Linked DNA regions of Saccharomyces cerevisiae S288C. The gene in region 1 interacts genetically with each later gene. Each region holds a gene or a part of one and is shown in the gene's direction. Other genes may lie near its edges.

The links.
Region 2: mutations in PIH1 (region 1) and SRP40 together harm fitness more than expected from each alone (negative genetic interaction), as found in Saccharomyces cerevisiae (4 studies listed by BioGRID, with this or other methods).
Region 3: mutations in PIH1 (region 1) and RSA3 together harm fitness more than expected from each alone (negative genetic interaction), as found in Saccharomyces cerevisiae (3 studies listed by BioGRID, with this or other methods).

Annotation. Positions count from the first base shown.
Region 1 is NC_001140.6:175,571-180,990, reverse strand, and holds PIH1 (Pih1p), read left to right. Parts: upstream 1-2,991; coding exon 2,992-4,026; downstream 4,027-5,420. Other genes in the region: BRL1 (Brl1p), read right to left, coding at 1-646; GTPase-activating protein NEL1, read right to left, coding at 880-2,772; YHR033W (putative glutamate 5-kinase), read right to left, coding at 4,172-5,420. UniProt on the Saccharomyces cerevisiae protein: Involved in pre-rRNA processing and required for the NOP58-snoRNA interaction.
Region 2 is NC_001143.9:612,165-615,474, reverse strand, and holds SRP40 (Srp40p), read left to right. Parts: upstream 1-1,589; coding exon 1,590-2,810; downstream 2,811-3,310. Other genes in the region: DNA-binding protein SRL3, read right to left, coding at 3,210-3,310. UniProt on the Saccharomyces cerevisiae protein: Not known; weak suppressor of a mutant of the subunit AC40 of DNA dependent RNA polymerase I and III.
Region 3 is NC_001144.5:577,862-580,811, reverse strand, and holds RSA3 (Rsa3p), read left to right. Parts: upstream 1-1,787; coding exon 1,788-2,450; downstream 2,451-2,950. Other genes in the region: U3 snoRNA-associated protein UTP13, read left to right, coding at 1-1,494. UniProt on the Saccharomyces cerevisiae protein: Required for efficient biogenesis of the 60S ribosomal subunit.

The DNA of each region.
Region 1 (5,420 bases):
ACGCATTTGCGTACTGGCTTGACTTGTGGTTGCCAAGTGATGATTTGATCTCATCTTCGACTTCTTCATTTCTGATTATGTCTTCACCCTCTGCGTTGTTATTCGAACTTTCATTGTCATCTTGATTGGCCGATGGTGGTAATGGCACAACACCTTCAACTTTAGTAGCTGCGGCCACACCTAAATCGGTCGGTGATAATAATGCCTTTATGACAGTTGAACGATGCGGTGAAACAATGTTCTCGACCTCTTCTACACTTTGGTCTTGGCTTTCATTCTTCTCTTGCTTTTGTCTTTCTTCTGGGGTAGCCTCGATTTCTTCCACCACGGCATTCTCAGTCGCTTCAGTATGAGTTTCGATTGGCTCGTTATTATATTCTTCTTCAAAACTTGTATCATCAACCTCATCTATTTCCATTCGGTCATCTTCTTCCTCATCAGCTTTAGCAGCACTAAAATCCAATGTATTTCGCAGAGGTGATGGGCTCGAGGGAAAATGGGGCATAAATCGGTTGATAAGCTGTGGTGACAAAGTTGGCCCCTGCTTAGATATACTTAGGTCGGAGAGGCCTCCTAACTCCTCGTCAACGTGTTCCATTCCGCTAGTGAAACTGTCTCTTATGCTCAAATTTTCAAAACTTTCCATATGGAAGATCCTATATAACGTTATAATACAACTACTCAATAAGCAAGTATTGCGATAAACAAGCGACTATTTGATGAGATGCTATACCTTTGATGAAATTAAGGGCCCAACTTGCTTTTGTATCTTCTATTGTCTTAGGGAATTTTGCTCTATTTCATCTAAAGTTTTTTTTTCTTTACTTTTTGTTTTCGCCAATACAGGCGTCGCAAAGTGCAGCAAGAATATTTAGCGAGTTATTTGCTTCCACTTAGATCGGTGAACAAGTTGAAATATTCATTGAATGTCATATCCTCTGTACCAAGAGTTTCCTTGTCAGTGATGTCCAAGGGAATAATTTTGCTTTTCAAGAAACGGTCCTGACTGCCACCGGTTTTAGTTTCAACATATAATGGCTGCGGAAACCTTTGCAAGTCATTTAAAAGCTTGCAACAGAGCTCGCGACCTTCTTTTTCCAAAAGTTTTCCCCTTCTTAAAACTAAGTACGAGCCACCATCTACACAAATGGTGGTTTTATCATCTTGAAGTATCTGGGCTCTTGTTAATGGGACATCCAACACGATCCAGTCGTGTTTCAAATCACTGTAACTCCAGATGAAGGGTTTGCATAATGAAAGGCATGTGTCTTTAGAAGCGTTTATTATTCGGTGAAGAAAAAGGTACCTTTCATCAGGTGAAGTATTCCGAACCGATAGAATTGGAGACCTATATATATGATAACACCACTGTATCAGATTGACCATATCTACGTCTTTTCCCCGGATTTGATTTGGTAATAGAAACAATTGCTTCATCAATTCTTTAGTGTGCTTGGATGAGTAAGCAAAGCTATCGATAATTCGTGAGGCTATCTTTTTCATTGAAAACACAATTTCATTTTGTGCCCCAAATGATCTATTGGCTTTTGGCAATAAGAGGGTTTCAATTCTTATGTATTTTTCCGTTTGATTTTCAAAAGTGGTTTGAAACTGTATAGGAGCTTCAGCTGAATTGTGACCTAGTGAGATTTCTAATGGTAGAGAAAGGTTTTTAGGGTTTAAGCTATATTTTGGGAAGTCCTTAACGACAATAGCGTTCTTTGCGGTCATTATCTTTGAATGACAATTGTAAATGGCATTATGGTCACGCAAGTTCAGGTACTTTTGAAAAGACATTGCGAATCTCTCATCATTGAATGAATCAAACTGAGAAACTGCCATTGACGAAGTTATTAATGGACTCATTTCGAGTATACCGATTTGATCCAATGAAGCTATAAAGAATTCATAGATTAACGATTGGTTTGCAAATTTTTCAAGCATTTTCTTGTAAAATTTTGTCGGACTTTTTGATAGTTGCAATTGTGAACTTTTGGATTCAAAATGGTGGTTTTGTCTCATGCTTTCACCACGTTCTCTTGACATAACTTTGCCGCCACCCTTAGTACATGGACCATTCAGGAATGAAACTATATGACAGTAGGCTGACAAACTGCACTGAGACGCCAGTACGGATGAAACGAACAGCGCTAATCCGGTGCAACGCTTGTCCCTTTTAGAACTGATATTCACTTTGTTTGCAATCTTGCATATTTCCCGTAGCAATTTTCTTAAAGAACCCTGAGTAGATTTATCAAACCAGTATGATTCTTGATTGATTTCTGAAATTTTTTTCTCGAAGTAACTGGCATTTAATTTATCAAGATTATATTTGGTCATAAATTCATTTATTGAAAATACAGCATCACGTCTGTGATTCACAGCATTGTGTAAAATCACATGACCTGATTGCTGAATAGTAATTATTGATAGTGGCTCTTGTTGTCTTGTGATGTAATTATTACATAGAATGGAAACTAAATAATTTAGCTCATGAGGATCGCAAATAGCGTCTATAATCATAATGGTCCGTCTTGAAAGTATTTCTTTCTTTGCAGAAGTCAATGTATAGGTGTTGGAAGGTACCAGTGGCAATTCAGCATTTGAGTTTGATTGGTTGCAGAATAGACAAGTCCAAACATTCTGTTCTCGTAGGGAACAAGCCATCGAATAATAGGCGCCACATTTGGTGCATTTTAGATTTTGGTCATAGTTCTGCGTCACAGCATCGCTGGAAAAGGGCTCATATAAGAAATTAGTTGGAGAACACATAGGCACTTCCTTGGCCAAATTTGGTGCTAGATTGCAGTATTGTACAAATACAGGATTCAGTACCTGATCACTATTTTTACTCTTGATATTTTTTTTCCTTAAAAAAAATCAGAAGACAATAATGATAGAAAAAAACTAGGAATTCTTGAATTCATATGCATGGAAGAAAAAGGAATACAGGGAACAGACTTTTCAAAGCGAACAAACAGACCTTAACCGATGGCCGATTTCTTATTGAGACCAATTAAGCAACGTCATAGAAACGAGGACAAGTACGTGTCGGTGGACGCTGCAGACGGATCGGTGTCTAAAATTGAGCCCATCGCAGATTTTGTAATTAAGACAAAACTATTATCCGCTAATGGGCCGGAAAAACTGCAAGATGGCAGGAAGGTGTTCATCAATGTTTGTCACTCTCCGTTAGTGCCCAAACCTGAGGTCGATTTTAATGCAAGGATAGTGTTCCCGCTCATCATCCAAAACGAATGGGAGATTCCTATTATTACATCCTGCTACCGCATGGACCATGACAAGAAGGGGCAGGAGTGCTATGTGTGGGATTGCTGCATAAATAGCGATTGCTCGCGCTGGATATGCGATGATATCCAACTGCGAGAGATACTGGTCGAATGGTGCTTGGAGTCATGTGAGATCCGAGATTCGGTGGTATTGTGCAGAGATCGCATTGCATTCCCCAAGATGAAGAAGAAGGGCGCTGAGCTTCCTGCACTAGAGGTATTGAATGATGAGTTACATCAAGATTACAAGGCAAAAATGCATAAAATCATAGAAGAGGAGGCCGGAGACCCGATGAGTATATTGAGAGGAAGGAATGACGATGGCGATGATAATAATGATCCCGACGATGGAACACTACCACCATTGTTCCCTATCGAGAACAAAATCTCCGGAGCCAAGATAGAGGAGATTGATAAGAACGAGATTGCTCACAGAAACCTGAAACAGGCACCTGCACCTGCACCTGCACCGCACGAGCAGCAGGAGGACGTGCCGGAATACGAGGTAAAGATGAAGAGGTTCAAAGGGGCCGCCTACAAGCTGCGAATTCTTATTGAGAACAAAGCTCCGAACTCGAAGCCGGACCGGTTCTCTCCGAGCTACAACTTCGCAGAGAATATTTTATACATTAACGGTAAGCTGAGCATACCTTTGCCGCGCGACATAGTCGTGAATGCAGCAGATATCAAGATTTTCCATATCCGCAAAGAACGCACACTATATATATATATATAAACTAACATTTCGAGTATTCTTTTGGTTTTTGTTGTGACTAATACGAACGAATATATAAAAGCGGGAAAAAGGAGAGAGATATGATGTGCATCTATAACAGAATTTTTTTTTTTTTTTTTAATCCGGTAAAAAAAAGGGAATATTCTCAAAATTGCGGAGGGAAAGCGATGTTTTCTCTATGTGCTACGTATTCACTCACACTGTAGCCCAAAACATCGTGAATCTTCTCACTGGGTAAGCCCTTGATCTTCGCAAGCTCCAGACTCGTATAATTGGAGCGGACGCATCCAACAGACTGAATCGGCTTCGAGATATCCAATTCGCCATTGGGTAACCGCTGGCCTATTTTGAGATCAACGCATTCAAGTTCGTGGAAGTTGTCTCGGACTTCGATCACGGCGTTTGGAGTCAGACTAGCCATATCCTTTGACAAAAGTTTATCATAGCTGTTCTCGTCGATGATAATGGCGCCCTTGGTAATGAGCCCGTGCAGAATCCAAAATTCCCTGTTCTTAAGCTTGTGTTTGTTGTCATTAGCTAAGAACTTGGTGTGCATGGGAACATCGTAGCGACGCAACTGTTCGAGCTCCGTATCCTGAAGATCGAGAAACTGCTGCTGTGTGCCGTTTCCGATATGGCGCGGAGGGCGGAAGTGATGCTGAATGTAGTCAACGATCTTCGGGACGTACTCTGGACGGTCGCTCTTCATCACAATAGTCTCGATACCGGCATTAGAGGCGAGGTCGGCGGCTATGAGTTTGGTGCGCATTCCGCCCGTGCCAACCTCGGAGCCTGAACCACTGGAAGTGTTGACGCCCGGAAGGCCCTCTGATAGCTCTGGCACGAGAACAATAGGACGAGCATCCGGATTAGTGCGCGGATTGTCTGTATATAGGCAGTCCACATCTGTGAGCAAGAACAGGAAATCCGCCCCTACAAGAGCAGCGGTAATGGCAGAAAGCGTGTCGTTATCGCCGAACTCGATCTCGCTAATGGATAGCGTATCGTTTTCGTTGACTATAGGGATGACACCCATGGCCAGCAGTTCGTTGATTGTATTGCGTGCGTTATTGTACTGGTTCCAACGCAGTATATCGTTACGCGTGAGCAGGATCTGCGCTGTTTGCTCGCCATACTGGGAAAACAGCATGTTCCAGCGCGCGATGAGACGGCCTTGTCCGACAGCGGCAATCGCTTGCACTTCAGACAACTGCTTAGGCTTGTGCGGAATGTTGAGAGCGTCCAAACCAACGGCAATGCCGCCGCTGGATACGATGATCACTTTGTGGCCCATGCGCTTAAGATTCGTCACGGTCTCGACGATTAACGTCATGATGGACAACTTTGGCTCTTTTGTGCTCTCGTCGACGAGCGACGAACTGCCCAGCTTGATA
Region 2 (3,310 bases), on another chromosome or scaffold:
GATATGAGTTGTGGTGATTGGAGAGAGTAAAAGAAAGGATGATAGATGCAAGAAGTAAGGCCAATCAAAGAGCAAGTCACTCTACACAGCTATCATATGAGGGGAGTGATCGCCGTACAGATAAGAAACCCAACTTTTTTCAAGACGCCACCGCTTGTGTAATCGCCATTATATCGAGGAAAGCCCTGCGAACGTGAAGTGAAAAGGACGGTTGTCCTTTTTCCTGTTCTTCGAGGATCCTGAACAGGATGTCAGTAGGGCGGGCCTTTTCTTTTTATTGTGCAGGTACGCATGTTTCTTTGACACAAAATAGTCTGGATTCGCCAGCCAGTGGCACTTTTGATGCCATTTCCACCACAGAAAACGTCTGAGTATTCAGCCATGGGAGGGGAGTGTTGAAAGGGGAGAAGCAGCCCACTTCTCTGTCTTGACACAAACCGCAGATTGCGTCACGGTTCTGCGGACGCCGTTAGCCCATTGGTGTCAAGTTATTGCGGGATTTTTTGGTGCCGTACGCCGGAGCCGACGGAGGTAAGTCAGTTCGCCGCTGCCTTCGGCGCCGTTATCTTATCTCGCCAGAAAACTCTTAGCTTTTCCGGGAAAAAAAATGAACAATACTGATTGCGTTACCCCAAGCTTATCCCACGTAGTTTTGTGTCTCTTTCTTGGGCTCTTGGCGGCCGTACGCATATAGTATACTAATGCGGTAACGGCTACCTCCTACGTCTGTATCAAAAAAGTTCGCTCTGGTCCTATCAATATTTTCTCCCACACGAGGATTCTGTGGTTTTGCAGCCACATCTACAGGATGTTGACTTTTTGTTTGTTTACGTAGTTTGTTTCAACGCTTTCGAAGATGTGGCGCTGGTGCAAGTCATCTAAGTTGGTTACTGATAACAAATTGTGACAAGGATGTAGTGGATGCGTAGGAGACCAAAATGACATCTGACACAAAAAAAAGTAGATAACGAAAACAGGACAAAGGTGTCATTTTGTTTTGCCAAGGAGAATTATAATCTTAGTGTGAAGATACTTTCATTAGACACATAAATTTACGTTCGACACACTTTTTTCTTACTCCTCCCCTTATCAAGGATACCTGGTTGATTCTACGTCGTCCTCTTCACTTTGGTTAATTCACCTTTGCCCTTCACCTTGTGGTGTGCGGGTGTTGCAGTCATTAATGTTCTTTATCGCGAGAGGGGGTCTACATAATCTTGTTTTTTCACTCCAATAAGGCAGTTATAGTGAATTTGTTTTATTACAGAAGGTGTACCCTTCGTTCGAGTTATTTTACTCTTGTTTTGTAGTTTGTACATCTCTTTATGTCTGGATCAAAACGATAATTCGAAGCTTATTGCAATTTAGTTCTCTTACCCATTTCTTTACAACGGGCCGAGAAAAAGTGGAGTTGGTCCGAGGAAGCTTTGAACGGGAAGAGGAAAAAACCTTCCCATCGCTCGAGCATACAATTTTTTTTTTTTCAATGCAGGCTGAAAAAAAAAAATTCACTTGATGATTGAACTCATCGCACTTTTATACAAAGCAAGAAAGAAACCCAAGTCGCAGTACACTAAGAATACATAGCAATGGCTTCCAAGAAAATTAAAGTTGACGAAGTGCCAAAATTAAGTGTTAAGGAGAAGGAGATTGAAGAGAAATCTTCTTCTTCTTCTTCCTCCTCCTCCTCCTCCTCCTCCTCCTCTTCTTCTTCATCTTCCTCGTCCAGTTCTAGCGGCGAATCTTCAAGCAGCAGCAGCAGCAGCAGCAGCAGCAGCAGCAGTGACAGCAGTGACAGCAGTGACTCTGAATCTAGCTCATCATCATCTTCTTCTTCTAGCTCAAGCTCAAGTTCCAGTGACTCTGAATCTTCTAGTGAATCCGACTCTAGCTCCAGTGGATCTTCTTCTTCCTCTAGCTCTAGTTCTGACGAATCTTCTTCGGAATCCGAATCAGAAGATGAAACCAAGAAAAGAGCAAGAGAATCAGACAACGAAGATGCTAAGGAGACTAAAAAGGCTAAAACTGAACCAGAAAGCTCTTCCTCATCGGAGTCAAGCTCTAGCGGGTCATCGTCATCTTCAGAATCAGAATCAGGTTCGGAATCTGATTCTGACTCAAGTTCTAGCTCAAGTAGTTCTTCTGATTCCGAATCAGATTCTGAATCAGATTCTCAATCAAGTTCTAGCTCCAGCTCTAGCGACTCTTCGTCTGACTCCGACTCCAGCTCCAGCGACTCTTCATCTGACTCCGACTCTAGCTCCAGCTCTAGCAGCTCTTCCTCGGATTCAGATTCGGATTCCGACTCAAGCTCGGACTCAGACTCTTCAGGCTCGTCCGATTCTTCAAGCTCGTCTGATTCAAGTTCCGACGAATCTACATCTTCTGATTCCTCCGATTCGGATTCCGACTCAGACTCTGGTTCTAGCTCTGAATTGGAAACAAAAGAAGCAACTGCAGACGAATCCAAGGCCGAAGAAACGCCTGCCTCATCTAACGAATCAACTCCATCTGCTTCCAGTTCATCAAGCGCCAATAAATTGAACATTCCTGCTGGAACCGACGAGATCAAAGAGGGCCAAAGAAAGCATTTTTCCAGAGTAGATAGATCGAAGATTAATTTCGAAGCTTGGGAGTTGACAGACAACACCTACAAAGGCGCGGCTGGAACATGGGGTGAAAAGGCAAATGAAAAATTAGGTAGAGTAAGAGGTAAAGATTTCACGAAGAACAAAAATAAAATGAAGAGAGGTTCTTACAGAGGTGGATCCATTACATTAGAAAGTGGTTCATACAAATTCCAAGATTAAAAGAATAGGAAACATAAAACAAAACTCGTTGTCTGGAGTAATCTCCTTTTAAGTTGTAGAGTAAACAAATTGTAATTATAGCAACGATAGAAAAATAATAGTAATAAAGACAATAATAATAGTAACAAAAATGGTAACAGTAATATTTTGTATTGTTTTCCTTTGAAAAAAGAAAAAATAAATAACCTGGTATATAGGTAATCGCGTCACTAAATAATTAAGCATTCAATAAAAGTTTTTTTTAATTATTTTTTTTTTTATGTTTTTGGCTCCTAGAGGTGAATATTTTCTTTTTCTTTCTTCGCAGCTATATACTAAATATTAGTGATATAAACAGCAAGAACTATAAACCTAAAAGTAGCCAAAGCCATGTATATATGCGAAACCCGAATCATTAGTTCAGTCCGATGAGGACATCTTCAATAATGTATCGATAGCAACAACTTCTTGTAAAGAATTCTCCTGTGTACTTTGCGTTCTTCTATGAGATGACCAACGTA
Region 3 (2,950 bases), on another chromosome or scaffold:
AAGAATGATGAAGACACAATACAGGTCACTTCGAGCATTGCTGGTAATCATGGTATTATTGCTGACATGAGGTATGTTGGCCCAGAGCTGAATAAATTAGCTTTAGCTACCAATTCTCCATCGCTTAGGATAATACCCGTCCCCGATTTATCAGGCCCAGAAGCTTCGCTGCCTTTGGATGTCGAAATTTATGAAGGTCATGAAGATTTGCTAAATTCATTGGATGCTACTGAGGATGGCCTGTGGATCGCAACCGCCTCTAAAGATAATACGGCTATTGTTTGGAGATACAATGAGAACAGCTGCAAGTTTGATATTTATGCCAAGTATATTGGTCATTCAGCTGCCGTAACTGCTGTTGGATTGCCAAATATAGTTTCAAAGGGATATCCTGAATTTTTATTGACAGCATCGAATGATTTAACAATTAAGAAATGGATAATTCCAAAGCCAACTGCTAGTATGGATGTTCAAATCATCAAGGTATCCGAATATACTCGTCATGCCCATGAAAAGGATATCAATGCTTTGTCAGTTTCTCCTAACGATTCTATTTTTGCAACAGCATCATACGACAAGACCTGTAAGATCTGGAACCTAGAAAATGGTGAATTGGAAGCCACGTTGGCCAACCACAAGCGTGGACTATGGGATGTATCATTTTGCCAATATGATAAATTATTGGCAACTTCTTCAGGTGATAAAACAGTCAAGATATGGTCATTGGATACATTCAGCGTTATGAAAACATTGGAAGGTCATACCAATGCGGTTCAAAGATGTTCGTTTATTAATAAGCAAAAACAACTGATCAGTTGTGGTGCTGATGGCTTGATCAAAATATGGGATTGTTCTAGCGGTGAATGTCTGAAGACTTTGGATGGTCATAATAATAGATTATGGGCTTTAAGTACTATGAATGATGGTGATATGATCGTAAGTGCTGATGCAGATGGTGTTTTTCAGTTTTGGAAAGATTGTACGGAACAAGAAATAGAAGAAGAACAAGAAAAAGCTAAATTACAAGTCGAACAAGAACAATCGCTTCAAAATTATATGAGCAAAGGTGATTGGACAAATGCATTTTTGTTAGCAATGACTTTAGATCACCCAATGAGGTTGTTTAATGTTTTGAAAAGAGCTTTGGGCGAATCAAGGTCTAGACAAGATACCGAAGAGGGCAAAATTGAAGTCATTTTCAATGAAGAATTGGACCAAGCCATCTCTATCCTAAATGATGAACAGTTAATTTTGTTAATGAAACGATGCAGAGATTGGAATACAAATGCAAAAACACATACCATAGCGCAAAGAACAATAAGATGTATTTTGATGCATCATAACATAGCAAAATTGAGTGAGATACCCGGAATGGTAAAGATAGTTGATGCAATAATTCCATACACGCAAAGGCATTTCACAAGGGTTGATAACTTAGTTGAACAAAGTTACATATTAGACTACGCGCTAGTGGAAATGGATAAGCTATTCTAGGCAGTAAGTCCAAGATATTGAGCCTTTAAAAGCAAGGCAATAGCAACATATTATTTTGTAAACTAGATATATAAAGACAAAATGCATTGATGAAGCGGAAAGCTTAAAATAATTCGATATATAATTAGGTGCCTTTACGGGCATTGAAAACTTCTTTGCGCGAAGAGCTCATCACTAAAAATTTGCAAAAAACGAAGAGCGAAAACTTTCATATATTGTAGTAATATATACAAGAATTTAAACTGCCCACTTGAAATAGCACGGAAAGAACTAGCCATAATATATTATACAGGATGTCGGCAGGTGATATATCAGCCATAAATATCAAGTCTGTCAAAAAAAACAGAAGGAGGAAGAAGAGAAGAACAGCTGATGTTTCATCATCAGATTCTTCATCATCGGATCCATCATCAGAAAGTGAAAAGGAGGAAATCCAAAATGGGGCCATCGAAGAACACGTTGGAGAAAATGGTAAAAGTGATCATGTTTTCTCAAAAGGTAATGACGAAGACAAACAAGAGGACATTGCAATAGAAGTTTCGGATGTCGAGCTTACAGACGAAGAAAGCAAGGATTTGAAGTTAAATTCAAAAGAAGTGATAGACGATTTAACCAAAATTTCTTTGAGCAAGATCCCAGAGCCTACGAAATCTCAAAACAAGGAGGGTTTTATGAATGCATCGAAAATTGCCGAAAATATCAAGCTTGCGAGAGAAGAATACAATGAATTGGCAGAAAACTTTGTGCCCAAAGGGAAAGACAAGACAAAGTTAAGGGAAGAATACTTAAATTTACTTTTTGAAAACTACGGTGATGATATCAATCGTCTTAGAGCTGCCCCGGATTTCACGAATAAATCACTATCCATTTTGGCAGATGCTCTGCAGGAAGGCATAGGAATGTTTGATATTGGTGAACTAGAATTGGTCTTGAAAAATAAAGAAATGGAGAACTGAAAAATATTGCTTTAAATCTTTTTCTAAAAGTTTGTCATGTTTCCGCGGAGAATATATTGACGTGCACATTAATTATTTAGATAATTCTTCGATTTTTAATGAAGAGCGGTCCTGATCCAAGTTGTGCTTCATATGGTATAAAGCTGATTCCAGTATACTGCACGAGAAGTATATGTATGTATTTTGTAATTTATATAAAGGCAAAAAAAAGAAAAACACTTGGGCATAATGGAGGAGAAGATCTTATGACCTGATAGTCAAAGAGAAAAAGAAAAAAGCAGAAGGAGCAAAGAAAGGCGGCGACCAAATGACGAATTAGATCCAATGAAAAACGATTCAATGCGAATAAAGGTTATCATGGATCACCTGATGGGCCTCTTGGCAATAGAAAAAGAAACTAGTTTGAAATTCATTAATATAAATAAATTTAAAGAGGAGAATATAGAAACAAATTAAAACGTAAAAGAAATGTATGTCGAGAAAATCCAGCCCAGTTCCAA